Linked DNA regions of Tamandua tetradactyla. The main gene of each other region encodes a partner of the protein of the gene in region 3 in a complex. Links are inferred from orthologs where the notes say so. Each region holds a gene or a part of one and is shown on either strand. Other genes may lie near its edges.

Region 1 (6,970 bases), on a different chromosome or scaffold from region 3:
AGCATCTGAGAAGACCATCAGACAATGAGAAAAAGAGTTCTCTAAATAACTTCTGAAACAGCGGAGGACCTAAGCTTATAGGAAGGCTCAACACTAATTCACTCCTCTGTCCAAGGTAACCAGCAACTTCCTTTCCTTCTCTCCAAAAACACAAGTGAGTCAGTGCACTTCTTTCTTACCTGTGATCACACCAGCAGATTTTGTAATTGTTTTCATTGCTGACCAGCAGGTTCTAAGCTTCTTGGGGGCCAGGAAAATACCTTACCCATTCTATATCCTTGGGACACTTCCCAAATTTGTGGAAAAGACACTCAAGGCCAATGCCAGGCAAAACCCCTGTCTCTTCTTCCCTCACACTTTGGGCAAAGTGGGTAGTACAGTATCATCTACACATTTCAAAAGCTATTAACGTGGTAATATCTCTACTACTGACCACCAAATAAGAGAAAAGATAGTGGAGAGAAAATAGAAATGTTTCTGTGTTGGTCAAAAACTAGCTGCATCAGAATCAACAGAAATGCTTGTTAAAATGCAGAGTCCTGGGGCCTACTCCTATCCAGGTGCTTTAGGCAAGGGGTACTGTAATTTTCATTTCCTAAATCTCCCCGAAATAATTCCTATACACAAGCAGCTCTCAATGAGAAGGCAATTCTGCACCTCCCACTCTCACCCAGGGAAATCTGGAAAAGTCTAGAGGCATTTTTTATTGTAATGACTAGGGAGGGTGGTCCTACTGGTTTCGAGTGGCTGAGTGGGTAGGGGCCAGGGATGTTGCTACACATTCTACAATATACATGACAGCCTCCACAACAAAGAATTAAACAGCCCAAAATGTCAACTGAGGTTGAGAAACCCTGCTATAAGCCTAAAAATGATAATAATCATGATGCCAACACTGTTCCTGGTCTTAAAGCAACAAGGAGTTCTTTTTAATTCTTCAGGTTATAACTAATAAAAACCAATAAGTTCTAACCAAATGATGGGGTATAAATTATAACTTATTAGGGACATTTTATTCCAAAACACAGAGAATTTGAAAACAATTGTCAAAATCTTCAAGGGGTTGCCATTTGTTATCATGGATTTTAGTCCCGGCCATGAAAAAGGTCACTTCCCAATTTTTCAGTGTTACAGGTCCCTCTGATGGTTATCTTTGTTGTACAATTCTAAACTGATAAAATAACCCAGGTGACATAATGTCTTTTTAAATTCTAATACCTATTATGCCACAGTGAGAGAAGCCTGATGCAGCAAAAAGAGTACTCACTTGGGAGGCAGGAAACCTGAGTTCTAATTCCATCTCTGCTACTTAATTAGCTGTGTGAATTGGATAACTCATCCTTTCACCTCTCATGGCCCCAGGTTCCTCACCTGGAAAATAAGGGAGTTATGCTAGATGGTCACTTAAGTCTCTTCCTGCTCTAACATTTGGTTAGCTTATGCCATAACGCCAATAGTACACACACACATATGCAAGCTTCTGTATGATTCTTGCACAAAATTCAAATAAGCAGAATTACCAGACACCACCATGAAAAAAATCATTCAAAAGAGAGGCTCAACTTTCCTGGTTGATGTGTTAGAAATGTTTCAAGCGACCATACTTTTGGTGAAGCGGGAACATTCACGCATGGATGATGTAAACTACTCAAACTTTTTTTGAAAACAATTTGGCAATCTATATGAAGACTCTTTAAAATGTCCACATCATCTGATCTAGTAACTCTACTCCTGAGAATCTAGTCCGAGGGAATAATCAGATACACAGTTAAAAAGAGAGGCTCACCAAAGTATAATCTGGGACGTTAAAATAAGGCAAAAACTCAGAAACGACCTAAATGCCCCACAGTAAGAAAATGGATGAATAATTTATGAGACCTACACAATGATGGAATAAGCAATCAGAAGAAAATACAGAATTAAGACAATTATTTAGTAAGAATTTACAAATATAAATAGAAAACTGTATATACTGTTAAGTACGGAAAAAATAGGTATAGTCTTAACTCAAGTAGAAACAAATCCATAAATAAAATACATACATGGACTGTGGGTGGAAGAACTCAGTGAATATTATTTTCTTCACTGAAGTCCTCTGCATTTTCCGTTTTTCTACAATAGTCATGTATTATTATGGGGAGGAGGAGGCACACTAAATCACTATCAACATTATCTGCATCACTCTAATCCTGGATACCCCGAAGTAAAACACTTGCTATGCACGCGTGCACGCACCCGTACACACAGAAAGTCTCCGGTAATAGAACTCGACTCCATACGATTAGGGATATCCCCCATCCGACAACTCGGGAAGGTGGGCTGGAGCGGGGAGGTCCACTCCTTAATTCCTGGGAGTCAGGAGCAGCTAGTCCGATTTGAGCAGCTAGTCCGATTTCAGTGGAGTACCCGTGATTCCCTGCTGCCCTGGGAACCAGGCAAAGCCTGGGCCTGTGTTCAGGATCCGTTTTCCCGCCGAATCCCCGGGGAGCGTCCCGGGATCCGGTGAGACTTCGACAACCGGGAGAGGTCTCACAAGCAAAGTCAAGGCAGCCAGGAAAGTGCCCTTCCTCACCACGCCTCCCGGTTCCAGGCAGCTCTGGGGAAAGGGTTCCAGGGAGCTCAGGAACCTCAACGCCGACAACCAGACATCTCCCGGCCATTCCAGGCGCCGAAGAGAGCCAAGGGGCGCGGCGTCCCGCAGGGACCGACCCCCCGGCAGTGTCCGGGGCCCGCTGTCCCTCTCCGGGTCCCTAATCCCGCTACCGCCAGGCCCTTCCCGGGCCTAGCTGGGGAGAGAGAACCCTGGCCCTCGAACCCGGGACTACGCGCGGCCTCGCCTTCAGACCGCGCGACCGCACACCCGCGCGGCCACCCCGCTCACCTCGCGGCCGGGATCTAGCACCTTACTCCTGGCGGCGCGCACGCCCGGCCTCCGCCGACAACCGCCGCGAAAGCTGAAACCGCCGAAGCAGCGGCACTTTCCGCCCCAGCCAATCAGTGCTTCCTCCAGCTACGGCAGCCCGTGAGGACCGAAAAGGCCGGTCCTGGCCCGCGCGCGCAAATTATAGAACCTCGGTTTGCCGAGATCTTGCCGCCGGGTTCAAGTCGGAGGCGGTGGTGATCTTTCTTTTAACGGAAAGCCTAAAACAGTATTAACAACCAAACTAAAAAACCCAAGCAAATAAAGAACTGGAAGTGACAGGATTTCTTTGCAGAAATATAAGAAATAGCGTGAAGTCAGGAAACTGGAATTTACTGCTAAGGTATGTCGGGGCATACCCAGAAATGTCGCTGAATAATCTCATGAAAATAAACAAATGAAAAGGAGCCTCAAATCTTTAAATCCATCTTTGGATTTTGATTTAAATGTGTGAAAACAAACTCATTATTAGCAATTCCATAGCAATGTTAATTGAAACTAAAATAATTCGTTAGTAAGTAACTATATTGTAATGGCATAAATTGTGTTACATTACAAACAGTAATTCTAATTGGAAATGCTGTGCGGACATTATTTAAGTGCTGCTATGGGAACCTGGTTTGGAATTTTGCATGAATTCTCGGTATTCTTGCTATTAGTGAAACAGCAGAGGAAAAGGGAGACAGCTGTTACACCAACATTGAATTCCTTTTTTCCTTACACACATACCCTCATCAAGATAGACTTTAATCTTCCTTATGAGTTGTAACACTATAAACAAAGTGCTACCTTTAAACAACAGATCTTAAATCTGTTAAATGTTATAGGATATAATATGCAGATTTTTTTAAAGACAAAAGTGAGTATCCCCCCTTACACACACATACACTCCTTGTAAGCCTCTCTTAGCTGAAAGGTGAAGAAGTGAGCAGTTGACTGATCTTGTGAACAGAGAACAACTGGGGGTGATTTAGCAAAGAGCAGACTTCCTTAAACCCTTCTCTAAAAGAGTGGTTTGGGTCAAGACCAAGCAATTACAGATTAATTGAGAGAGCTCTATTTGAAGTTCTTGCAATATAAAATATAATGTAAATTTAAATTTTTTTTAAAGAAAAGTACTATTAAAATCAAGTAATTAGCTGCAAAGAACAAACATAATAGAATATAAAGCTCTGTCCCTAAAATCCTTCTTTGCAAAAGACATCAGATTGTCCCACATTCCTCACTGATTGTTTTCTTAAATTTTGATTCATAGATTTTTCCCTCGGTTTCCACAGAGCCCTGGTGGAAGCAGTAGATTGATGTGGAGGACTGGGGGTGGTGAGGAATTTTTAGAGCATAGTTCATCTACAGGGCAGCGGCAACCTTTTTCAAGGGGCACTAACATGAATTACTTCATGTACCACCAAAGCTTATCAAAAATATGATTGTCCTCAGAATCCCCTCACCAGCTTAAAATTGGTTTTTACTAACTCACGAGGCAACTTTCAGTATTTCACTATTTTTTCCTTCAACATCATATATTTTACAAAGAGAATATATGTGGGATTTTTCTGGTTTACTACCAAGAACTGGTCTTTGAAACCTGAACATAAATACTAACTTATTAAGAAGCCCTAAAGTCATAAAAACAGTGTGGCACAGCTTAGTTTGGCTAAGTTTATCATTGCCTCTATATAAGTTTCTATCCAATGAACTAAAAATCGTTAAGATCATGACATCAGAAATCGTAATATATGAATTCTGCCTCCTCCACTTCTAATTGTAAAAATCTTTCTTGGTCCAGTAATTAAACTTATCTAAGGCTTTTTTTAAAATCTTAAAACGGAGGAAATAAAAGTTAATTTTTTTACCCTAGAATAATGAAATGATTGAATGAGAAAGAAAACATATACAAAAATGCTTTGTAACGAGAACAGCATTTCAAACATAATCTGTTATTCTTAAAACAGGCAAATACTAGTATAAAAATACTAAAATGAACTCAGCCATTTCATTATTTATTGCACATTTCTACAAGTTTTCATACCTTTGCCTTCAAGTAACTATCTCCATTTATGTTTCAGATTCAGAAACAGAAACAGAAAGTATCATTTTTAGCTTGTCTTATAAAACACCCAACAGCCCGGAGAACGTGTGGGTGATTGTACTATGATGCTGATGTGGGTAAAGATAATAAACACAAACATGGAATTGGATTGGTCACATTCCCAAAGCAGGTTTTAAAATGTTGCATCAGTGTTAGGCATTCGATGAACACTAGTTGCTCTTGCCTGAGCAGTGCATTAACTGTTCTGAAGAGCTGACAGGGGTAGAGCCTCCCTTCCTTGACCTTTCAACACTGGACATAAAAACATGAAAGCTATGACATCCTGGTTTTGGGTATTTTAGGCCACTCTTACCTACCTTTCATCATGGGATGTGAAAATAATTTGTTAAAGGAAATGAGAAGAAAGACATTCTATAACTGCAGAATATCTTCTGAGAAGTGATCTAAACTTGTTGACTGGTGGACAAATTTCTCAGAAAAAGCAATAAGCCTTTTATTTTTACCAAAAGAAGGAATATGTCATAGTTTGCCAAACTGCTGTGACAAATACCACACAAAAGTTTGGCTTAAATGAACAGAATTTATTGTCTTGCAGTTTTGGAGGCTAGAAGACTTGCTTCCTCCCACTTTGGTACGATTTTTATGCTGGCTTGCCTGCACCTGGGGGTTCCTTGGTTTACATCTCTGCCTCCTGTCACATGGCAATGTCCTTCTTTATCTTCTGGGTTCCTGCAAATTTCCTGCTTTGGGCTCCTTACTGTGGTTCTCTCTTTATAAAGCCTCCATGAATCCAGATTTAAGACCCACCCTCATTCGACTGGGCTACACCTTAACTAAAAATAGTATCTTCAAGGGGTCCTGCTTACATGCGTTCACACTCACATGCATGCAGATTAAGATTAAGAACATATGTTCGTTGGGGAACATAATTCAGTCTACCACAGATTTATTCGATAGCATAGGCAATTATTTTAAGCTAGAACATTTGAGATGTGTAAACACATGTTCGAATTTCATCAATCCATCCTTTTGGTCTGAGTTTAACTTCGAAGGCGATGGACTCTGGGTCTGAGCTCCTGGAAGGAAAGTCTGCCAAACGCTGAAATGCTTTACATTCTACTGTGAACTCTAGAAAACCTCTCTCAGCTGTATAATTTAACGAAATCTGTGTGAAGCTGCCCTTGTGTTTTCAACAAGATGAACTTGAAAGGTGAACATTATAAGTGGGAGAAATTATTTATAATTTGGTAATAAAAGTTTATATCTAACACTCCAAATTTCATACATCTGCCGTGTGCCGGCACTGAGATATAAAACAATTGAAGTTGCCTTTACATTTGCCCTATATGAAAGGTCATAAATTAGAATGATAGCGTTCATCTTCTTTCCTAGCTCACAAAATTTCCATATTAACATCTTCACCTCAAACATAAATGGTTACCCGCTACAAAGAAAAGACTTGGATTGGCCTTTATGAATTATAGTTTATGTGGAAATCTGTAGTATGTAAGCTTGCTGTTCAGCTCTCAGTGAAGTGCATTTATTTCAGTAATGCTAATTCTACCACAGTGAAACTCATTGGAACTGTGTGGCCAATGTATATAAAGCACAGTATGTAAAAATTTAGGAATATTTCAGATGTCAGCAACTTATTTCCAAGGTATGGGAGTCTTTAACTTTTAAAAATGCATTTCTATGTCTTTAAGAGATTTCTGTGGCTAACATACCTGCTACCAAGTTTATTTAAAATACGGCTTTCAATTTTCAAAATATTTTAATGTTTCTTCCAATGAAATAAGATAATATATAGCTTTTAATTTTTTTCAACTACACAAAGGCTGGTAACCACAACTAATTTAATCAGAGCATATTATAACTAAATTCGTTGTGGAATATTAATGAATTGGACCAGTGCTTTATGTTTAGGCATTCAAAAAAATGTTTATAGCAAAAAACAAAAAACAACCAAACAGATGTCCTTGATTTTCCAGGGTGATATC
Region 2 (7,970 bases), on a different chromosome or scaffold from region 3:
AAAGTCTCCGAGATCCAAGAAAACAGCCATATGACTGTACAATGACCAAATAATATTAATATGAGTAAAGCAAGGCCATGAACATAAGTGGGTGGTTAAGAACAAACACAGGTTTGAGAAAGAAAAAAGGTGATTTATTTGGTACCCTCCAATGGGATGGGAGGGGGAGAAGCTTGATATAGAGGACACATACTGACTAGTCAAAAGAAAGGTGTGTTGATCAGTGAAGGAATATTCCACTGGGCTCTCCCAATGAGCAGAAGAAACATCCTTTCAGATCTATCTACCTCTCTTGTCCACTAATCAACTTCTGATTAAAAACTCAGGTTTTCAGGCACTGTGATACCAGGAATGGAAAGGAAAAAAGGACATAAGCATTCAATTTATTGGAAAAGGAGTTACTTCTATCCATTTTAAGGCATCTGAGTTCTAAATAAGCTTCATGTGACTTTAATTAGATGCCCCTTCCCCTCCCCATCACCTCCACCAGGAGAAAAGTCAACTAAGTCTGAGGGGATGATTAGAGCTGATCATCAATAGGTATGTTGGGAGAGTCCACTTTCTGGACCTAGAAGACAGAGGTTTGGACCATGGATGTAAGTCATTCAATTGAAGTGCTGATGTCCATCATCTAGCAGTAGTAGTGGCAATCCTGAATCACTATCCCCATCACTATCTCCCATCAAACTTAGCTATTGTTTCAAGACTTAAGACTTGGTCCCCTAGCAAAACAGAAGCAGCAGCGACAACAAAACAAACCCATAGGTCTTTGATAGGAGAGGAACAATACTTACATTAACAAAATCTCCACCCTGTATCATGAAATCCTTTATGACCCTGAAACAGAGGGAGCATAAAGGATTCTGAGAGATGATTCTAAAGTTTAGAAACATGGTTTTATCATTATAGTACCAGATTAACAATTTTTTTAAAAAATACAATACTTATCATTCTCGCTCACAAAATGATTACTCTCTCCTGGAAAGAGTGAGCTGAGAAGATTATTAACAAAAAAAGGAGTTTTAATTATAAATAAGAGCATCTTAGAGTAGACCGAAGTGCATGATCCAGTACTTGAATAGTAACAAAAGGAAGGGGCTCAAGCCCTGCAGGAAAACCACCAAAATAATCACCAAAGCAAAGGGTAGGTGAAGGGCTTGATGTAAATTGTGGGAAAAAAGAAAACGGAGAATGTATGTGAAATGCTAACCCATGAGCTATTATACACATAAGGGCTCAATAAATGTTAGATACTGTCCTGACAGGATCCTTAACCTTTCTTAGCCTCAGTTTCCTCACCTGTAGAATGTAGATAATAACACCTACCACCTCACAGTTGTGTTGTGAGGCTTTGGCCTCACAAAGACCATGGCTCTAAATGTCCGATATGCTAATATCATTACTAACCACAGTGAGGACTTTGAGGCAAATGCTAAATGAAACAAAGACACCTGAGTGTTACCACACTCCACTTCCATCTGGCCCAAGGAATTTGACTATCCTAAGGTAATCATACATGGTCATTTTTAAGAACTAGTTCTTAAATGTGGTATTTTAAAAATCAGCATTCATACCTACAAGGACATGAAAAAACAGAACATTAGAATTATGGGTAGCTGCTTCTTTTTGAAATAGCTTAAAAGAAGTAGTGGAGGAGTGTAAGTAGAGTTGGTATCTTTAATAATTCTTCAAATCAGTTGCTAAGTCAATAAAAAAATTTCTTCTCAAGATCCAAGAATTAGTTTCTGATTGTATTTTCCTCTGCCTTTACAGTCTAATGCCCCAAGGAAGTAATTCTTAAGGGCCCCAAGATGGCTTGCCAAAAAACTTACCTGTGGAAGGTGCTCCCTTTGTATCCTATTGGAACCCCATCTTTTCTATAACCAAAAAGAAAGAGATTTGGAATGACGACTGGCTATCACAGGCCATTCCAGTTTATCACACACTCCAATCAACAGGACTCTCCTAAAGAGGGGCGAGGAGAGATAAGGAAGGCAAATGACCTGAGATAGCCTCTTGGGCAATCATTCGATTCCCCAAGACCCTCATTGCAGCTCTAGGACACCCCTCAGGAACAGGAAGAAAAGTCAACCACAACTGAGACTGACCTGAATTCTCCCGTGCAGAACTGCCTGAAAACGAAAGGGTGAACAAGTCAGTCATCACATCATCACACATCCACGAAAACACTAATCTCGGGAGGGAAAGGCAGATATTGGAGCCAGCTATCCTAGAGCCAGCAAACCCGGCCAGAGGTCCAGGTACCGAGGTATGCAGATTAACAAAGTAAACGGACACAGGAACAATCAAATCGTTCTATTCAGACAAAACGATAACCAGAAGAATCATATGTCTCAAGGGCAGTGAATGGACAGAGACAGAGACACACAGACGTTTCCGCAGACTGACTTGGGCCCATCTTCGGGTGGGGGTAATCCGGTAGAGCTGGATCGTCTCCTTACCTAAAGTTTTCAGCCGTCTTAGGCACAACGTCTGCAAAGAGCTCAATCTTCATGCGACCAACTTCCTGCAACCAGCGGGAGATGGTCAGAGGGCCCAGTTTAAGACCATGATGGCCTCTGGGAGCAAGGAGCACGAACAGCAGGCCCACCTCCCCACCCGCGGTGCCGCTCGGTATCGCTCCCCCTCTGTCTACACAGCCCAACCTTCCGTTGATCCCAGCCCCTTCCCAATCAGGGGGTTAGAATCCGCGAGTCCTCTTCCTTCATCCTCCCACCAGGCAGGGTGGTAGGTTCTGGTCCTATTTCACTTTCTGGCTTCCCAAATCCGCTATCCCAGGCTTAAACAGTTCTGTCTGCCTAGCCCCGTGCAGTTCTCCTTCGGCGCAGGGCTCGGTGGCTCTCTGGGTCTCACCTGGCCGCCAATGCTGACATCAAAAAACACCACGGGGTTGACAGGGCTTGAATTTGCCACCGCCATGGCTCCGACCCGGAAGCAGAAGCCGGGAACGCGGGGTTCAGGCGAATCTAATCCCAGCCCTGCCGTCGGCGTCTGCGGCGCAGGCGCGGAAGAGGCGACCGAGGCCGAGACACGCCCCTGGAGCCCGCCCCCTATCCTGGTGAGCTCACTGGCTCCCGCGCCCAGACGTGTACCGATAACAGGTTCGCATTCTGTTAACTAACTTGGGTGTCCTGAGGGTTAGGGCAGGGGAGAAAAGCTGCTGTTTTTTTTGTTTTGTTTTGTTTTTTTCTGAATGTCCGCGGGCACCCGACTCACAGGGCTCTAAGTGCGGTACAAATTAGTCTCCGTTAGGCTAGGGGGTTTGGATTGAACAGTCTCCAAGGTCCTCACCAACTCTTGCAGCTGACTTCTGAACCTTCGCTCAGGTTGCTTCTTCCTTCTGACCACTAGTCTGTGAGCCCCATGAAGGCAGAGGCTCTGGTTTGTTCATCCTTCAGGCTTAGAACAGCTTGGCATATAGGACTTATTCAGCCCTTCCTTGAGATCGGGACACTAAAATTTTAGTTCATTCTGCCACGAGTTTACACTTTTGTACCGTCCAGTTCATTTCCCTCACAGCAGCTAGTGCTTTTAAAATAACTCTTCTGCTTAAAAACCACTCCTGGTTTCCCATCATATTTAGAATAGAATCCAATTCCTCCTACAAAGGCCTAAATTATCTGGCTGCCACCTACCTGGTCTTTTCTTGTACTACTTGCCAAATTACTAAGCTCCTTTCTGTTCCAAAGTTATTGAGATAGTTACTGTCTTAGGGTGTTAGGGCTTTGGTACTGCTACCTGCCTGAAATACTATTCCAGATCTTAACGGTGGGGACAGGGTATGCTCCCTGTAATTCAGGATTCAGCTGAGATATCACTTCCTTGGAGAGATTTTACACCCAATCTAAAGTAGCCATTGGTCAATCAGTGTATGTTCTTAATGCCATTCAGTATCTGAAATTATATTGTCTGTCTCTACATCTCACCTCCTGCCACACACACATTCGTTCCAGATAAGATATCAACTCCATGGAAGCACAGACTCTACTCGCCTGGCTGTTCACAGCTGTAGACTGCAGTGCCTACTACTGAATAGCATATAAGTATTCAATAAATAGATTCAATGAATTGGGTGAAGGAAGGTGACCTGGGTCAAGACTTGGAGTCTGTTTTAGTTTCCTGGGCTGCTCAAGCAAAATCATACAATAGTTTGGCTTAGACAATGGGAATTTATTTGCTCAAGGTTTGAAGCTGGGAAAAAGCCCAAATCAAGGTGTCATCAAGATGATGCTTTTTTTCTTCCTGAAGACCGTGGCATACTGGGGCTGGCTGTCATTAGCTTGTCACACAGCAAGACACATAGTGGCACCTCCTGCTCTCTGCCTTCTCTTCCTGTTCCATTGATAAGCAACTTCTCCTTTCTCCCCCTGTGGCTTTTTGTCTCTGTGCCTGAATTCTGCTTATAAAGTACCCCAGTAATAGGTTTAAGACCCATCTTGATTGGGCTGGGTCACAGCTTAATTGAAATAACCTCATCAGAAGGTTCCCACTCACAGGAATGGATTAAATTTGAAAACAAGTTTTTGTAGAGTAATTATAGCTTTAAACCGCTGTATTGGTTAGGGTTCTCTAGAGAAACAGAATCAACAGGGAACACTTCCAAATATAAAATTTATAAAAGTGTCTCATGTGACTATAGGAACACAGTCCAAAATCTGCAGGGCAGGCTGTGAAGCCGAAGATTCCAGTGGAGGGTCTGGACAAACTCCACAGGAGAGGCTCACCAGCTGAAGCAGGAAGAGAGCCTATCTCTTCTGAATCCTTAAAAGGCTTCCAGTGATTAGATTGAGCATCACTCATTGCAGAAGACATTTCCCTTGGCTGATTACAAATGGAATCAGTTGTGGATGCAGCTGACATGATCATGATTTAATTCTGTGAGATGTCCTCATCGCAACAGACAGGACAGTACTTGCCCCACCATACAAACAGGTACCACCACTTAGCCAAGTTGACACATGAACCTGACCATGACAGTCCACCCCTTGTCAACTTTGCAGCTCTATATATCACCTTAAACCATACCTAATTTCTAAATAAATTAAAATGCACATTTTTTTCTTTGACCTGACAATACTTAACTGTCCTGCATATAACTGGAAACACATTAAATCTCTCCAAAATAGGGTGCAAGTCCTTGGGTAATATTCATTCTTAAACTTGATAACTTACAACTTAAATAGTATAACATGAACAAAACAGCATTACAGTACTCGTTTCTGTAACTGATCACGTGGTCGTAGTTCATATTTATCACTACCTTCTTCCACTATCCATTCCATGTTCCCTTTACCCTCAGTAAGTACTTCATCTGGCCGTGGTTCTTCGCCTGGTGGGATGAACCAAACCTTCATTCCTGAAGTTTCAGACCCATTGGTAGACCTGCCTGGATTGGGCTGTTGCAGTTTTCCATTGATTTTAATCACAGGGTATGGTAGTACTAAAAGACGCCCTACGGGATCTCCCATATTCCAAGAAAACTCTTCTTTACCTCAATTGTGTAGTTGCAGTCCTATTTCCCCCTGATAGTCAGGGTCAATCACCCCAGACAGTAATGCAGTCCCCTTCTTGGCTTGCTGATCCAGGGGCATGAGTAGCCCAAGGTGACCAGGTGGCAGTCTTAGATTACAGTTCAATGGAATCATTATTGTTTCTCCTGGTGGAAGCACTCCCCCTTTTGAAACTAAAACCTGTATACCAGCAGAGCTCAGGGTCGCAGGGACAGGAAGCAAAAATTTTCCTAGTGGATCACTAGGGGTAATAGTGAGTGGTGCCACTCCCATTTCCACCCCTTGTTGATTCCTGGACCCATGGATCCTGGCTATGGGAGAAACAGCACCATACCGCGGATACTGATTCAGAGTATATACAGCTTCCTGGAGAACATTACCCCAGCCTTTCAAGGTATTGCCACCTAGTTGGCACTGTAATTGAGTTTTCAAAAGGCCATTCCACTGTTCTATCAATCCAGCTGCTTCTGGATGATGGGGGACGTGGTAAGTCCAGAGAATGCCATGAGCATGTGCCCATTCCCGCACTTCATTTGCTGTGAAGTGTGTTCCTTGCTCAGAAGCAATGCTATGTGGAATACCATGACGATGAATAAGGCATTCTATAAGTCCACAGATGGTAGTTTTGGCAGAGGCATTGCGTGCAGGGAAAGCAAACCCATATCCAGAGTATGTGTCTATTCCAGTTAGAACAAATCGCTGCCCCTTCCATGAAGGGAGTGGTCCAATGTAATCACCCTGTCACCATGTAGCTGGCTGGTCACCTCGGGGAATGGTGCCATATCAGGGGCTGAGTGTGGGTCTCTGCTGCTGGCAGATTGGGTGCTCAGCAGTGGCTGTAGCTTAGTCAGCCTTGGTGAGTGGAAGTCCATGTTGCCGAGCCCATGCATAACCTCCATCCCTACCACCATGACCACTTTGTTCATGAGCCCATTGGGCAATGACAGGAGTGGCTGGGCAAAGAGGCTGACTGGTATCCACAGAATGGGTTATCTCATCCACTTGATTATTAAAGCCTTCCTCTGCTGAAGTAACCCTCTGGTGCACATCCACATGGGACACAAATATATTCATGTTTTGCCCACTCAGAAACTTCTATCCACATACTTTCTCCCCAGGCCTCTTTGTTACCAATTTTCCAATTATGGTCTTTCCAAGTTCCTGACCATCCAGCCAAACCATTAGCAACAACCCATGAGTCAGTATACAAATGCACCTCTGGCCAGTTTTCCTTCCAAGCAAAATGAATAACCAGGTGCATAGCTCAAAGTTTTGCCCACTGGGAGGATTTCCCCTCACCACTGTCCTTCAAGGACACCCCAGAGAGGGGTTGTAGTGCTGCAGCTGTCCACTTTCGGGTGGTACCTGCATATCGTGCTGAGCCATCTGTAAACCAGGCCCGAGTTTTCTCTAGAGAAGGTAATGTGGCAGGAGTGCAGACCATGGGCATTTGGGCCACTTCTTCATGTAATTTACTTGTACCTTCAGGACCTGCTCTGGCCCTATCTTGTATATACCATTTCTACTTTAAAATAGAGTGCTGCTGCGCATGCTCAACTTTATGGCATGGTGGGTCTGACAACACCCAGCTCATGATAGGCAACTCAGGTTTCATGGTAACTTGGTACCCATGCTTAAGCTTTCAGTCTCTGCTAGGGCCCAGTAGCAGTCCAAAAGCTATTTCTCAAAAGGAGAGTAGTTATCTGCAGCAGATGGTAAGGCTTTGCTCCAAAATCCTAAGGGTCTGCGTTATGATTCTCCTATAGGGCCTGCCAAAGGCTCCAGACAGCATCTCTATTTGCCACTGACACTTCCAGCACCATTGGATCTGCTGGATCATACGGCCCAAGTGGTAGAGCAGCTTGTACAGCAGCCTGGACTTGTCACAGAGCCTCCTTTTGTTCAGGTCCCCATTCAAAATTAGCAGCTTTTCTGGTCACTTGATAAATGGGCCAGAGTAGCACACCCAAATGAGGAATATGTTGTTGCCAGAATTCAAAGAGACCAACTAGGCATAGTGCCTCTTTTTTGGTTGTAGGAGGGGCCAGATGCAGCAACTTATCCTTCACCTTAGAAGGGATATCTCGACATGCCCCACACCACTGGACACCTAGAAATTTCACTAAGGTGAAAGGCCCCTGTACTTTTGTTGGATTTGTCTCCCATCCTCTGACACGCAAATGCCTTACCAGTAAGTCTAGAGTAGTTGTTACTTCTTGTTCACTAGGTCCAATCAACATGATATCATCAATATAATGGACAAGTGTGATGTCTTGTGGGAGGGAGAAACGATCAAGGTCCCTGCAGACAAGATTATGACATAGGGCTGGAGAGTTGATATACCCCTGAGGTAGGACAGTGAAAGTATATTGCTGACCTTGCCAGCTGAAAGCAAACTGTTTCTGGTGGTCCTTACTAATAACTATTGAGAAAACAGCA
Region 3 (7,502 bases):
CAGGCCCTGACCATTTTCATTAATGTGGACCAAAAATGACACTCAAGAGTCACACAACTTAATAAAGATAAGGTAAGTGGGAGGATGCAGCTTCCATGACATCTCCAAGTGGGAAAGGCACTCTGCCACCCTCCCCTAGCCTGTCACTTTTGGGAATTCTTTGTCCTCACTTCCTCTATCTCTCACTTTCCCAGAGCCTCTCAGAACTCTTAACCTAACCGTGCTTGTGTAAGGGCTAATAGCAGATTCTGTGAACTACCTGCGTTCCCATCCAGATACCTCCCCTGAGTCTCGGGAGAAGAATTTAACCATTCTGTGCTTCAGGTCTCTGTTTCATAACAGGGAAAATGAATAACAGCACTTATCTAAGAGAGTTTTTGCAAGGACCAAAAACACATAAAGTGAACTCTCAGTAATGGCCCACACAACAAATCCAAAAACAAGATTGTTCTGTGTCTCTCGGAACTGACCCTTTCCCTGGCTCTCTGATGCCTTACCTGGTCCCCAAGGGCGGCCTGGATGAAGCTGAGCAGCACCTCATAGGTCTCCCGGGTCTCTTTGGTCTTGGGCTTATAGATGATGCCCACCATCTCGTCAATGCCCTCTGACAGCAGGGTATAGCCCTTCATCTTGTTGATGTCATGCCGGTCCTCGTCACGCTTTCTTCGCCTAACAGACACACATTTGGCATTAAACAGGTAGACTCTTCCCTCTCCAAGGCAAAACCAAATCAAGACGGCACCCCTCTCTGTCTCAGCTTCATGGCGCACACCCAACATTTGAAAAGAAGAACCTACATCTCAGCAAATGATTCCATGTGCCCTTAGTCACCTGCGGGAAACACTTCTTTCTTTACTATATATTACTAAAGTAGTATAGGTTTACAGAAAAATCATGCAGAAAATATAGAGTTTCCATATACACCTGCCCCCACCCCATTATTAGCACTTTGCACTAGTGTAGTACCTTTGTTATAACTGACCAAAGAATATTATTATAATTGTACTTTATAACTGACATTTTTTGATGGGACACAGAAAAGGAATCCCCTTATTAGATACACTAAATTTACAATGGAACATTCCCCTCATTAATTAAAAGAAGACAACTCTTTACACTTTGTATAACATTATACCATCGGATTTTGACTTGTTTTTCACCGCTCAGAGGCATTTTCTTTCCCTACCTTCAAAAACTGAAGAGTCAAGATAAATCTACTGCCACTGACTCCCAACAAATTACAACAAAACTGGGACAGGCGGAATACTCTGTGAAGTAGAGGGCCAATGATATAAAACTGTTTGAAATGTAACTCCCTTAATCAAAACAGGCATAGGAACGTCTGAGACTTTATCACGAGGAGGAAACAGAGATGTTCAGGGGCAAAAGATAATGGTTTATTCGAAAGCTCCCATCCAAAACTTTCCTTTTCCACCCATTGCTATTTCCAGCACGATTTAAAACTGGAATCCTATCCACAGCAGATAGTTATATATGCTTGTCTGGCTTAAGGAGAAAATTAATTTTGCACGTAATTCTCCCCAGTGATCTGTAAGACAGGCCATTCTATTTCACCTTTTTTCTTTTCTTTTTTACAGAATATGAACCCACACCATTCTATCATTAAAAATGTCAAACTATTTTAAATGTTCTTGCTTAGATACTGCAAGTCTAAAAAAGCAAACTTTTTCTGGAGGGACTTAAACCCTGCAAAATAAAAGTTCTACATGTGTCTCTAAAAAAAAGATAATGGTGAGATAAAGTCAATAATTATTTAGGTTTTGAAATATATACCCCAAGAAGTACTCAAAAAAAAAAAAAGTTTTTCATACCAGTGGACGCTTAGGCGTTAGCTTAAGACTTAAAAAAAAAAAAAAAGTAGGAAGTGAGGAACAGCAAAGGAAAGTAAGGGCAGGAAGCCAGCAAAGGAATTAGAAAAAGAGCAACTGACTCAAGGGTCTCATAAATGCTGTGAAGATGAAGATGTCTGTGGACCAGAAAAAGATATGTTAGAAAAAGTTCCCAGAAAGTTATTTTCCACTGCAGCCACACTTGTTAAGGCCAAAGAACCTTTTAACTTTCAGGTACTGCTTTTACTTCCACCAAGGTGTCTGAATGACACTGACCTGTCTCTTGCACCAGGCGTTTCAGCAAAAATTCACTGAGAAGGGACTCTGATCTGGAGAAAAAACCTAGTATTCGCAGCGTACTCACTTGGCCCTTCTTTCCTCCTGCATCTGAGGTTTGGTCCGCTGAGCCTTATCTCCCATACGCGTGCCCTCCAATTTCCCCACCAGGGACAGCACCTCTCCTGTGGGTTCATCCCGGCGGGTGCGGTCAATAAGAGACCGGTCAGCTTGGAGGACAAGATTCGAATTCTGAAAAAATCACAATTTTATCGCAACTTTGACATCAGCTGGGCCGATATCCTATAACACAGGGATATCAACTGATGATGATAAAGGAAGGAGGCAGCTGTAGCATTTTATAAAACTGCACATGGGGCGAAGGGCTGAACTAAGTTCTATGGCCTGTCAACTCAGTCCAACCATCCTTACTCCTAGCAGAGCCCATAATAGGCCATAGGGAAAAGAGTGGGGGCCCGGCGGAGGGGACCTGTGCAAGGGGCAGGGAATGAACCCTCAGAGCCCCTGGCCAGGCCCGCCCGCCGCAGCCCCCAACGGGGTTATTCACAGCGCCGTGGACCCCGGTTTCTCCTCGGGTTTCCCGGCTCTCCCGTCGGCTTCCAGGCCGCAGCTCTGTTTCTCAGCCCCAGGGCCCCATCCCGCTCCTCCGCCCCGAGTCCTCCCGCCAGCCCAGACGCACCGCCTTGTACTCGTACTGCAGGCTACGGGCGGTCACGTCCGCCATGGCCGCGGCTGCCCCGCGCCCTCAGCGGATTCCTCCGCCTCACACCACACAGGGAACGGCCGCCGCTCTCCTGCCCGGAGAGATCGAACCACGCAGGAGAGACGCACAGGAGCAAAAAAAGAGAGAAATGGCCCCCTTCCGCTTCCGGGTCGCGCGCCGGAAGTGCGGGGAACGAGTTGCAGGCGAGCGCGCGCCGCCGTGTCCCGGTGTCTTTGTGGTCCCCCGGTGCCCGGGCCCCGCGACTCTAGTTCCGGTCTTGCCTGGGCATGAGCGCCCTGTCACCCCCGGCCCCTCAAATCCTGAGGAAGCGCACACCTCCGGCAGCCCCCGAGATGGGAGAGGGGCTCAGGACACACTAGGGGGCCGCTCGCAAAGAAAGAAGTCCTATTATGGTTGGCTGGTGAGCGTGCCTCTTCTGCGTGGGTGTTGTTTTCCTCTGGAATCGGACCCAGGCCTCCCCGCCTCCCCGCCCGGCTCTCTGCTCGGGAGCCCTTGAGCCGCGGTGCTGAGTGATTTTCGAAGTTGCTGCCCATGTGAGCTTTGCGAGGTTCTTCATCCATTTTTCTTAAATTCTGAGTAAAAGTTTGTCACTCACTGTGTTTTTATGGTACTTGAAGGGATGAAGGGATGGAGGGGTTCCAGAAAGAGTCGGAGTGGGAAGGGCTGCGTTATGGAGGCGAGACCCTGAGCCGAGGCAGGAAATGAAGTGAAAACAAGGAATTGGTGCAAGAAGCAGCGGCGGGGAAATGTGTCCCGGAGAATTCTCAGGCTCCTGGCAGTAAGGAGGTAACTTGTCTCCACGACATGTAGGGCGAGGCTAAAGCCAATTTATTGTAAGATTGAAAGAAAGACATACAGATCCAGGGACTAGAACTGAGAGTACAAAAATAAACCCGTGCGTTATGGTCAATTGAATTTTGACAAGGATGCCAAGATAATTCAAGGAAGAAAGAGTCATCTTGTCAACAGATGGTGCTGGGACACCTGGATAGCTACACGAGAAAGAACGAAGGTGGACCCCTACATCACCCCTTATGCAGACTTTATCTCAAAGTGGAGCACAGACATAAATGCAAGACCTAAAACTATTAAAATCTCTAGCAGAAGACAAAGGAGTAAGTTTTTGTGACCTTGGATTAGGCAATGATTTCTTAGATATGTCACCAAAAACAAAAGACAAAAAGACAAATTGGACTTCATCAAAATTTAAAACTTTTGTGCTTCGAAAGACACCACTAAGAAAGTGAGAAGATAACTCACAAAATGGGAGAAAATATTTGTAAATCATACATCTGATAAGAGACTAGTATCCAAAATATATAAAGAACTCTTACAAATTAATAATAATAATACAACTCGGAGATTCAGAGGGAGCAGAACAATGTAGCCATGAGATGCACAGAGTCTACCAGCCAGCAATCTTTGGAGGTGAAGAAGGAAAACGCCTCCTGGGGAGCTTCATGAAACCAGAAGCCAGGAGAGAAGGCTAGTAGATGATGCCATATTCGCCACATGCCCTTCCAGCCGAGAGAGAAGCCCTGACTGTTCACCATGTGCCTTCTCACATGGGAGGGAAACCCTGAACTTCATCGGCCTTCTTGAACCAAGGTATCTTTCCCCAGATGCCTTTGATTGGACATTTCTATAGACTTGTTTTAACTGGGACATTTTCTCGGCCTTAGAACTGTAAACTAGCAACTTATTAAATTCCCCTTGTTAAAAGCCAAAACAAATAAATAATAATAATAGTAACACAACTCAATTGAAAAATGGACAAGGGATTTAAATAGACATGCTTCCAAAGAAAAGATCTAAATGGACAGTAAATTTTAAAAATGCTCAATATCATATGCCATTAAGGAAATGCAAATTAAAACCATTTTAAATAACCACTACACACCCTCTACAATCTGTTTAATAAAAAGACAGACAATAGTAAGTGTTGTCAAGGATGTGGGAAAATTGGAGCCCTCATATGTTGCTGGTGGGATTGTAAAATGATACATCCACTTTGGAAAATAGATTGGCAGTTTCTTAAAAAGCTAAACAAAGTTACCATATGACTCAGCAACTCTACTCCTAGGTGTCTACCTAAGAGAAATGGAAACATTTGTTCACACAGACACTTTTACATGAAAGTTCACAGCATTAATTTGCAATTGCCAAAAAAATGGAAACAACCCAAATGTTCAAGTGATGAAGATATAAACAAAAAGTGGTATATCCGTACAGTAGAATATTATTTGGCAATAAAAAGAACTGTAATATTGGCATGACCCCCGTAGGGCTGGGGAGGAGGCTGAGCTTGCAGCTTGAGGGGGGTGGGGGCCCCGGACTCTGTGTCTGGAGAAGCGATGTGAGTGGAAGACTCAGTCCTTCCCTGCTGCTCTGATAATCAGGACTTTGGGCTGGACCTTTGGGCACACGCCGAAATCGCACGGAGCCAGGCAGAAAGCACACATGTGGGCTGACACGGATTAATAAGGAGCTCGGCAATTTGGCCCATGGCACACCCTCCCCCCAGCACAGTGTTCTGCAGGTCCAGTTGGGGACGAAAACTTTCATCGACAGTCCGCAATTCCAGGACCTAACGACAGCTCATAGCAAGGCGGTGTGTTCTTTTCGACAATTCATTTTCCTACAGCCCACCTCTCCAAAGAGTCAAGGTTGCATTTACCACAAGAATTTATCATCCAGATATTGACAGTAGCAGCGGCACTTGCTCACTATTCTAAGATGACAGTGGTCTCCAGTGTAACTGTTTCTGAAGTTCTGTTATCCATGTGTTTACTGCTGTGTGATCTGAACCCAGATGAACCCCCAGTGCCAGAGATGGCAGCCATCTGTGAAACAGCGATAAGTGCAGTTGAACATTTCGAGGATGGATTCAGAAGTATGCCATGGGATGAAAGTCAGAATACCTGCATTATAGTAGGAATAACTTTAATGTTTCCTTTTTTAATTTTCTTATCCAGCTGCTCTCCTGTCAGACTTCATCTTTGTGTGTGTGTGTGTCTGTATGCACTGAAGGGTGGGGGTCACATTTCATTCTTTTTTCGTATGACTATCCTGTTATTGCAGCACCATTTGTTGAATTTTGGGGGTGGGGTGCAGTGGGGAAGTGCATGGGCCGGGAATCGAACCCCAGTCTCCCGCATGGCAGGCGAGAATTCTACCATGGAACTACCCTTGCACCCCCAGACTTCATCATTTAAACTTTATTTTTGCTTACCTCCCTCCAATCATTCCATGCTCATCTGAGAAGACTTAAGTTCTTCCAGCTTTGGGCAATGACTGCTTTTAGAAACTGTAAGGTAGTTACAAGAGAATGGCTGCCCAAGATTCAGAATTATTTATAAAAAAAAAGGAAGCATGTGTATTATGTGCCCAGGTCTTTATTCTAACTTGGCTGTGAGACTGAAACCACTCCCCACTGCTCTGATGTACCGAAGGCGTCATCTGGGTGGGGGCCCGGACAGGAGATGGACGTTCAGTTGTCACATTGGAGGACACAGGCTTACCCCGTAGCAGCACCCGTGCTTGTCCAAGCCGTCCACTGCTGGAGAGCTGAGGGCACATGGTGACCCTAATGCTCATAACTGATGTGGCTGTAGAACTGGTATTGAATTTACAGCATCAGCAGAACAGAAAATGTGATGTGCTTTATGCCTGTCCATGAAGGGATGACTTCTTGTTCTACAGAAAATCGAAATTGGAAGTCATACACACTTTATATTCCAAGATAGGGTCTCAAACATTTTATAATTTTCCTTGAAATTATTAGGAAGCTTGGAGTTATTACTTACTCTATCTTCCAATATACTGTTTAATATAGCACTGAATAACTGGGGCAAATTGTCAATGGATGAATGGTCACCTAATAGCGCTGCTAGCAATTTATTTATTTTTCTTCAATAGAATTGCATAAGCCAATGAGTTAGTTGCAGGGATTAATCAGTATGGGAAACCACCTATTGTAAATTTAAAGCTGTTTCTTGTATATATTTTTGGGATTTGCTTCACTGTTTGACATCAAATGTAAAGCTCAGAAGAGGGACTATTTTGCCATGTTCAGTTAAAGTGTACAGTCTGTTACTGGTTGACACATTAATTGATCCAACTTGTGCAGAATTAATAAGCTAATCAGATGGTGTAGCTTCAGTCTGCTGCACATGATACTGACCGTCCTAGAGTTCAGAGATGGACTGGGGACCCAACTGTATATGGAGTTTAAGAAATTTATTTTCCAGATGCAACCGGATTTAACTAAATTTTTTTTCACGTAACACACTTGACAGATGATAGAGCCATAATGTAGGAGTCATAATGGGTCAAAATTTACAAAATAAAGTACAGTTTTGGTGTGGGAGTAGTAAAAAAAAAACAAACATAAGTGCTATAACGTAGATGAATCTCAAAAACATTATATTAAGTGACAGAAGCCTGTTCCAAAAGAACACTTACAGTATGAATCCGTTTATTGAAATGTCCACACCATGGGAGTCTATAAAGACAGAGAATAGATGCTGTCTATTCTCTGACCTGAGAAAGGGGTGCCCAGCAGGGAGGGAGAAATGGGGCGCAGGGGTGACTGCTAATGGAAACAAGGTCTCTGGCTGGAGTAATGAAGA
Region 4 (7,012 bases), on a different chromosome or scaffold from region 3:
TGGACACACACACATGAATATATATGTGTAACTATTCAAAAAAATATCTGAAAGAATACAGATCCAATTTTTAGCAGTGGTTACCAATAGAGGAAAATAGGATTTCATCTGTTACACTATATATATCTGTGTTGTCTAATTTTTTTTACAAAACACATTTATGCAGCAGTAATTTTTTAAAAATTAAATAAGAATGGAGGACAAATGTAATTTACAAATAATCACAAGGAAAAAATGAAGGGAGTGAAAACATTTCATAATAAACACATTTCTGTAAAGAGAAAAAAGTGTTAACATATATAAAATAGTTATATTTGGCTTGTAGAAATATGGGTGACTTTCTAACTCCCCCTCTTCCATGTTTCAAAATATTCTTGCACATTGGATACTTTCTACATTTCAAGGGGGTGGGGAAAGGGAGGGATGATACAGAAGTAGTCTAATTTCAAGATAATTTAATAAACTTACATGTAATCTGCCTCGAAGCTCTCGGTCGTTTCTCATTTTCACGTAAATTCGCTCATCCAGGCTGAGCCTGATGAGATCCAGGGGCTCCTCTACGGTGTTGGTAGTTTGTTGCTGATTGAGGAAACAGTAGCATAATACTAGGAATAGTGTAATGTTCCAATCACTGCTCTGCTATGTGACCATGGGCAAGTTACTTAGTCTCTGTATGCCTCAATCTCCTAATTTGTAAAACGGGGATTAACAGTACCTATTCATACTGTTGTTGCGAGGCTTAAATGACCTATATGAAGGCTCAGAACAGTGCCTGGCACATAAGTGCTATATAAATGAGAGAAAACATATACACAAAGAAAGGAGTTACACAGCAAAATAATCATGGCTATACCAAAGTCAGTGAGACCTTGTTCCCTCAAAATAATAAACTGCCTGACCCAATTTCAGGGTAAACGGAGCCACTTTCTGAGACTTTAGCCTTATCTCAAATATCATTTAATCATTTGTAAAACATTCACTTAGTGCCTACCACAAACCAGTCAGGATGCTAGGGAGGGATGTTCGTTAAAGTCTGAGGGAAGATTATGAATCCACCACAAGGAAGATTGAGTTCAAGGTGCCAAATGGACAGTAAGATGAAAATAGGTAGTAGAAAGTATAGACTACTGGTTAAAAGCACTGGATTTGGAGCAAGGCAGTCTGGGTTCAAATCCCAGCTTTGACCTGTACAAACTGAGATAACAAATCTAATTTTTTGCTTCCTTATCTGTAAAATGAGGATGCCACAACCTTTCCTTAAGGTTTCTTGAGAAGATTAAATGAGCCAATATATTTAAAGTAAAACCTGGCAAACAGAAAGCACTTAAAATAGTTATATTAATAATTAATATTATACATATACAAATATTAAATATTAATACAAATATTAAATACAAATATTAAATAACTGTTGGTAACATAGGTCTGAAGTTTCAGAGATGTCAGGGCTAGGATCACCTCGGGGCCATCCATATGGAAGGGAGGATTAAAGCCATGAAACTTGATAAGATTGTCCAAGGAAAGAGTTTTCAGTGAGAACAATCATGACTCCAGCACAGGCTCTACCTGTCCTTCAGATCAATGAGAAAAAAAAAGTCCTGACCTCAACTGGTGACTCTCTCACTATTCCAGTTCAACAAGTGTTCGTTAAAGAGCTGGACAAGCTACAATTTCATAGAATATAAGGCACCTGTCCTTAAGGAGTTCAGCCCAATTAGGAGAGAGGCATATAAATAAACAATTATAGTTCTATAAGAATATACACATGACAGAATCCTGCTGCTACTTTAGACTCAGTCTGAGATGCCCATTCTCTACCCTTTTCAACCTATAACCTTAAATGTTGCCTTTCCAAAGAGGTCTCCTGATCATCCAATACATTCATTCATAAATATATGGTGTTTCCAGCACTGTTATAAACCCTGATGGTAGAACAGTAAGCAAAACAAAATTCCTGCTCTCGCAGGGAAGACAGCTGTTATACAAAGTAGCACATACTTAAAATGAAAAAAATAAAATAAAATAAATAAAGAATGACATACTATGACGAAATTAAACAAGGTAAGCAGACTGGGGTGGTGGTGGTACTATTTGATGTAGGTGGCCAGGGAAATCCTCTTTGATGAGGTGAGATTTGAGTGGAAAAACTGAATAAGTTGTGGCCCGACATTCATCAGAAAGAGTATTTGGGGAAGAAGAGCAGGCGAAAAACCCTGTAAGGTCTCCGTACCCGGTCCCTTGTCTGTTTCCTTCATACCACGTCACAATTCCTATGTATCTCACACGTGTATGCCTTGCCCCAATAGAATATAAGCTCCACGTGGTAATGGGATTATGTCTGTCCCTGGTGCCTAGAGTAATGTCTAGTCACCGACAGCTGATACACACTACGTATTGGTTGAATGAGTGGATAATTATTATACTACGCTGAGTAATAACGTCACTAACTCAATTTTTTTGCCACACTTTCTATCAGAATCCTGACAGCTCCACGAGGCAGACACGGAAAATTATTCTCATTATCTACAGACAAGAGAAGGGAAGTGATGAGAGTCAGGAATCGCTGTTAGGCGCGCGGGCTTTGAACAGGACAGAACTGAGGGCCTGAAGCAAAACTGGAAGGGGATGCGGTTACAAGGGGAAGGAGACAGATTAAGCCTTAGTGGGCCAGAAAGAGGTGGTTCGTAAGGACACTTTCCCGTGAGCTTAGAGAAGGCAGCCCTGGCAAGTCGAGAAGGGCCAGGACTGGGAGCGCGGGGGAAGCCGCTTTAGACCAAAACGCACTCACCTGATCCACGTCGTCCGCCATGTTTCAAACCCTGCGCCCTTTCTCTCCTATCGCGAGATCATACGTGCCTTCCCACGCCTCCGGAAACGTGAGAACGCAAAAGCACCGGAAGTAGAAAGTATCTGTTTGGTTCCGTCTCTCTGCCTACGCAATTTACACTGGCTGCCGGGGCCGAGGCGGACCTTCCTCTGAGGGTGTGGCTTGGCCGTGGTGGAGGGGCGTGACTATGCCTTGCCCCACTGGGGCGGCTCGCGTGCCGCGACCGCTTACCGCGGTGTGGTGCGTCACTCGCAAGGCGAATCTCTCTCGGCCATGGGACGGAAAGGCGCTGGCTCTCCGGAGCCGCAGCGACGCGAGCTGCGCGGCCGGAAGGCTAAAGGCAAGAACCAGGCCCGGAGCGAGAGGAAGGAGGCAGGTGAGAGAGCGAGGGGACAGATACTGAGGGGGCTGAGAGGCAGGCCCGCAGTGCAGGAGCCGGGGTGGGGGAGGATGCTGTTCAATGCCCAGACGGAGGCAGGCGGAGCCTTGCCGGGCCGCTATGTCGCTGCCGGCCCCTCACCGTCCGGCATCCCTGCACGCCTTTGTCCCTCACGCGAGGAAGGATGCGGCCAGAGCAACTTCTTTGGAGTCCCATCTGACCACGAGCTCCCCAGCGTAGTCTCATTCCTGCTTAGCAGTGCCCACAGGGTAAAGTCCAGCCTCCTCTCCTTTGCTAAGGGCTGAATGAGGAAAAGGCATTGCAGTTATTTTATGAGCCCCCAGGAGACGGACCGCGATGTGGAGTGGTGTGGTGTGCTAACTCCCAGAGTAGCATCTTCAGCTAAATCTCACCCAGGTAGTTCCAACACGATTTTTTCAAGTGGATATTGTCTGATGTTTAACATAGACAAAGCAACGCTCTTGATTTTCCCCCTTTAAAACCTCTGACCTTTCCCCAGTTTTTGCCATCTCAATAAATGACCCCTTTACTGTCTTGGTAAAGCAAACCGTTCTTTTTCTTACATGCACAAGTCCTGTCAGTTCAACCTCAGAAATTTATCTCGTCTGTCCTTTTAATTTTGTTGGCACAGTTCTTGTGCAGGCCACTATCGACTTGCAGGTGCGTGGCTGCTGTTACCTCTTCACTGGTCTTTCTGCTTCCCTGCAGTGGGTTCTGCACCCAGCTGCCAAAATGATCCTTAAAAGAAATCCACACGTTTCCTGTTCCTACATCAAAACCTCTATGGCTTCCCATTGCTCTTGGCATAAAATTTAAATTTCTTAGCACAGCCTACAAGACCCTACATGATTTGGGTGCTGCTTCCTCTCTTTTCTCCTTGCCAGGGATTCTCTTTATTTATTGGCCAACTTGCTGTTCCTCTAACATGCTAAGACATTTCTAATCTTAAGCCTTTGTTATTCCTTCTGCCTAGAATGTACTTCCATGGCCCTTGTGGCTGATTTCTTGTTTTCCTTCAGGTCTCAACTCATTCTTCTATTCCTTCAGGTCTCAACTCAGAGTCACTCCTTGAGTTTCAGATCTAAGGTAGCCTTCCACAGGTATTCTCCTTCTTTGTACCCTGATTATTGCTCCCACAGCCCTTGTCACGATCTGTTAGGGTCTTATTAATTTATTTGCTTCCTTTTTGACCACCCATCTTACTAGAATTTAAGCTCTTTGAAAGCAGAAATGTCTTGTATTTTGCTGTGTCCATTTTGTCCTCCCTCCCTCCACACACACACATAGTAAGTACTCAATAAATATTTTAAATCTTTGCAAAATGCATGCTGCTTTAGGATTTCTAGAGTTCCTGAATGAAATAACTGGATAGAAGATTAAAGTAGGTAACCAACAAGGGCTCCTACGATACTAGATTCTTTGATTCTGTACATGTTATAAGCTAATTGTCCCTTAGAAAATATTCAAATGGTAATAGTTTCTTAGCTCAGAAGGTGATTTATATTATGCTTAATTAATACTATGAGTTCCATTTTATTCATTCAGGCACTCATTTATTCATTCAGATAGCATTTTTTGAATGCCAGTATATGAATTAGGTGACATAGAAGATGGAGATTTCATGGAAGAGCTTAGAGTATAATACTGTTGATATGACATTTGTACATAAAATATCCAAGGCAGAGTCCGTTAAAGGTCATGAAGAAGGTACAGAAGACTGGCTTCTGAAAGATTGATCAAGTTCGACTGGAGAGATTGAGAAATGCTCTCTGAAGGGGTTATGTTAGAGCTACAACTTTAAGAATGGATAATAGTTTAGCAAGCAGCCATGAAAGGTGGGGAGTTGGGGCATTCTAGACAGAGGGAATGTGTTCAGAGTATGTTACAATTCAGAAAGTAAAGATTTTAATCTGATGGTAATGCTACCTTCCTGGGTAGCATTCTCAGCTCAGCATTTCAGCTGTGCATCACTTAGACTTTGGTAAATTTACATGCACTTTGGTAAATTATTTTTGGACAAATAACCTTTCTAAACCTCATCTGTGAAATGTAGTACTACCCTGCAAGGTAACTGTGAGTTTTCAGTGAGATAGCATATAAGGCTTATGGCATGGTGCGTGGGCCCATGTTAGGTGATCAGTTAGGCTAGCTAATATCATTCAACCTAAATGTAGCTAAGAATGTACCCAAGCTTCAATCCAACTCTGCCAGCTAGGGTAACTAGCACCAGGTTTTCAAAGCTGCTTCCAGGTTATGAAGAGTTAAGGTCTTTGTGGTGGTTGGGTGAGGACTATAGATTTAGTGCATATGCCTTGGACTGCAGGTGGCCCTACTTGGATGATTGTTCAGTGTAGAAATTCGTATAAAACTCTGGATTTTAACAGCACTCCTGTGCATGCAAATGAAAGGAACACTTAGTTGCTTCCATCAGGAACAAAGAAAATAGTCTTCCACATTGTTTCCTTGCTTCTTTTTGGGCACCTGTAGTTTCTTCATATTTCTTTGTATGTGTTCATTGATGTAATTAATTTCATCAACATATAACACATATTGGTTGAGCACTTTTTTTATTTCCACTCACTGTTTGAGGTATTGAATTTATATTAGTGGACATGACAGGCAAGGTCCCTGCTCTCATGATGCATATAATCTTTGAGGGGTGGGTAGGGGAGATAGTAAGTTTAAAAAAAAAAACAGCAAATTCTTGTGGTAATAAGAGCTATGAAGAAGTTAAAACAGGGTGCTGTAGTAAAGTTGGCATGGGGATACAGATTTGAGAAGAGGGAACTAAGTTAGAATGAGTGGGCAGGGAAGGCCTCTGTGAGGTGGTGACATTTAGAGCCACTTATGGAATGATGGGAAGAAGCCATTCATAGAAGTTCTGGGGTGAAGTGAGGGTTGGGGGTGTGTGTGGGAATTTTAGCAGAGGAAACAGTAAATTTAAAGGCTCTTAGAAGGAAAGAAGTTTGGCCATTTTGAGAAATAGCAAGGAGGCCACTTGGCTAGATGCAGTGAGAAATAGGAGCCATGAGTGATAGGAATTGAGGTGAGAGAGGTGGGCTGGGCCTGAGTCATGTAGGAGGGCAAGCTCAGGAGTTTAAATTTGATTCTAAGTGCTGTGAGATACCCCTGGACGGTTTAAGCAGATTTCCTTATTAAACATGGATGCCCCAGCAAGCCACAGTGATTAAATTCCTGTCCTGTTGAAATAACCACATTGACAAGCTCAAGGGAAAGGCCATTTAGACTCCAGTTCCTTAACTTCTAATTTCATAAGGACCAAAAGACACAACAAAAAATAAAGGAACGAAATAAAAGTCATTCATGTTTCTACCTGCCACAAATAATCATTAGTAACTTAACTATTGGTGTTTTTACTTCAGTCTCTGTGTGTGTGTGTGTGTGTGTTTTAACATAGTGGAAGCATACTGTAAAAACAACTTTGCGTGCATAACATTATATCATATATTATTTTCCTCTGTCTTAAAAGATGACTGAATTATATTTCATTGGATGACTATACCATAATTTACATCACAGTTAGTTGTGTATGGATGTTCATGTTGGTTCTTTTGTGTTTGGAGATTATGAATCATGATCCTTTGGACATCTTTTTGACTCATGTTTTTTTGTGTTTTGTTTTTCTTTTTTTAACTCCTCTACCTCTCTTTTTTCAAAAAACACAGATGTATACATCTGTGCTTTTAACTGCTTGAAACAAGTGTGATAAGGAAACAAATGATGCCTTTGAAGTATCTTCCCCTCTCTGTTTTTAGATTAGTAAA

The links.
Region 1: SNRNP200 (region 3) and LSM6 share a complex: the UniProt entries of both Homo sapiens proteins name them as parts of the U4/U6-U5 tri-snRNP complex. The link is inferred for Tamandua tetradactyla from reciprocal best matches to the Homo sapiens genes SNRNP200 and LSM6.
Region 2: SNRNP200 (region 3) and PPIH share a complex: the UniProt entries of both Homo sapiens proteins name them as parts of the U4/U6-U5 tri-snRNP complex. The link is inferred for Tamandua tetradactyla from reciprocal best matches to the Homo sapiens genes SNRNP200 and PPIH.
Region 4: SNRNP200 (region 3) and LSM3 share a complex: the UniProt entries of both Homo sapiens proteins name them as parts of the U4/U6-U5 tri-snRNP complex. The link is inferred for Tamandua tetradactyla from reciprocal best matches to the Homo sapiens genes SNRNP200 and LSM3.

What each region holds. Positions count from the first base shown.
Region 1 is NC_135348.1:21,885,933-21,892,902, forward strand, and holds the start of LSM6 (U6 snRNA-associated Sm-like protein LSm6), read right to left. Parts: upstream 3,010-6,970; 5' UTR 2,882-3,009; intron 2,848-2,881; exon of another isoform or gene 2,573-2,847; intron 2,361-2,572; exon of another isoform or gene 2,236-2,360; intron 1,372-2,235; exon of another isoform or gene 1,268-1,371; intron 1-1,267. UniProt on the Homo sapiens protein: Plays a role in pre-mRNA splicing as component of the U4/U6-U5 tri-snRNP complex that is involved in spliceosome assembly, and as component of the precatalytic spliceosome (spliceosome B complex).
Region 2 is NC_135328.1:182,093,985-182,101,954, forward strand, and holds the start of PPIH (peptidyl-prolyl cis-trans isomerase H), read right to left. Parts: upstream 3,017-7,970; 5' UTR 2,941-3,016; coding exon 2,875-2,940; intron 2,528-2,874; coding exon 2,463-2,527; intron 2,133-2,462; coding exon 2,109-2,132; intron 1,878-2,108; coding exon 1,833-1,877; intron 838-1,832; coding exon 795-837; intron 1-794. UniProt on the Homo sapiens protein: PPIase that catalyzes the cis-trans isomerization of proline imidic peptide bonds in oligopeptides and may therefore assist protein folding. Participates in pre-mRNA splicing.
Region 3 is NC_135343.1:2,444,319-2,451,820, forward strand, and holds the start of SNRNP200 (U5 small nuclear ribonucleoprotein 200 kDa helicase), read right to left. Parts: upstream 3,003-7,502; 5' UTR 2,872-3,002; coding exon 2,827-2,871; intron 2,379-2,826; coding exon 2,215-2,378; intron 670-2,214; coding exon 498-669; intron 1-497. UniProt on the Homo sapiens protein: Catalyzes the ATP-dependent unwinding of U4/U6 RNA duplices, an essential step in the assembly of a catalytically active spliceosome. Plays a role in pre-mRNA splicing as a core component of precatalytic, catalytic and postcatalytic spliceosomal complexes.
Region 4 is NC_135335.1:33,959,359-33,966,370, reverse strand, and holds the start of LSM3 (U6 snRNA-associated Sm-like protein LSm3), read right to left. Parts: upstream 3,001-7,012; 5' UTR 2,810-3,000; coding exon 2,789-2,809; exon of another isoform or gene 2,316-2,788; intron 580-2,315; coding exon 469-579; intron 1-468. Other genes in the region: XPC (DNA repair protein complementing XP-C cells), read left to right, coding at 3,101-3,203. UniProt on the Homo sapiens protein: Plays a role in pre-mRNA splicing as component of the U4/U6-U5 tri-snRNP complex that is involved in spliceosome assembly, and as component of the precatalytic spliceosome (spliceosome B complex).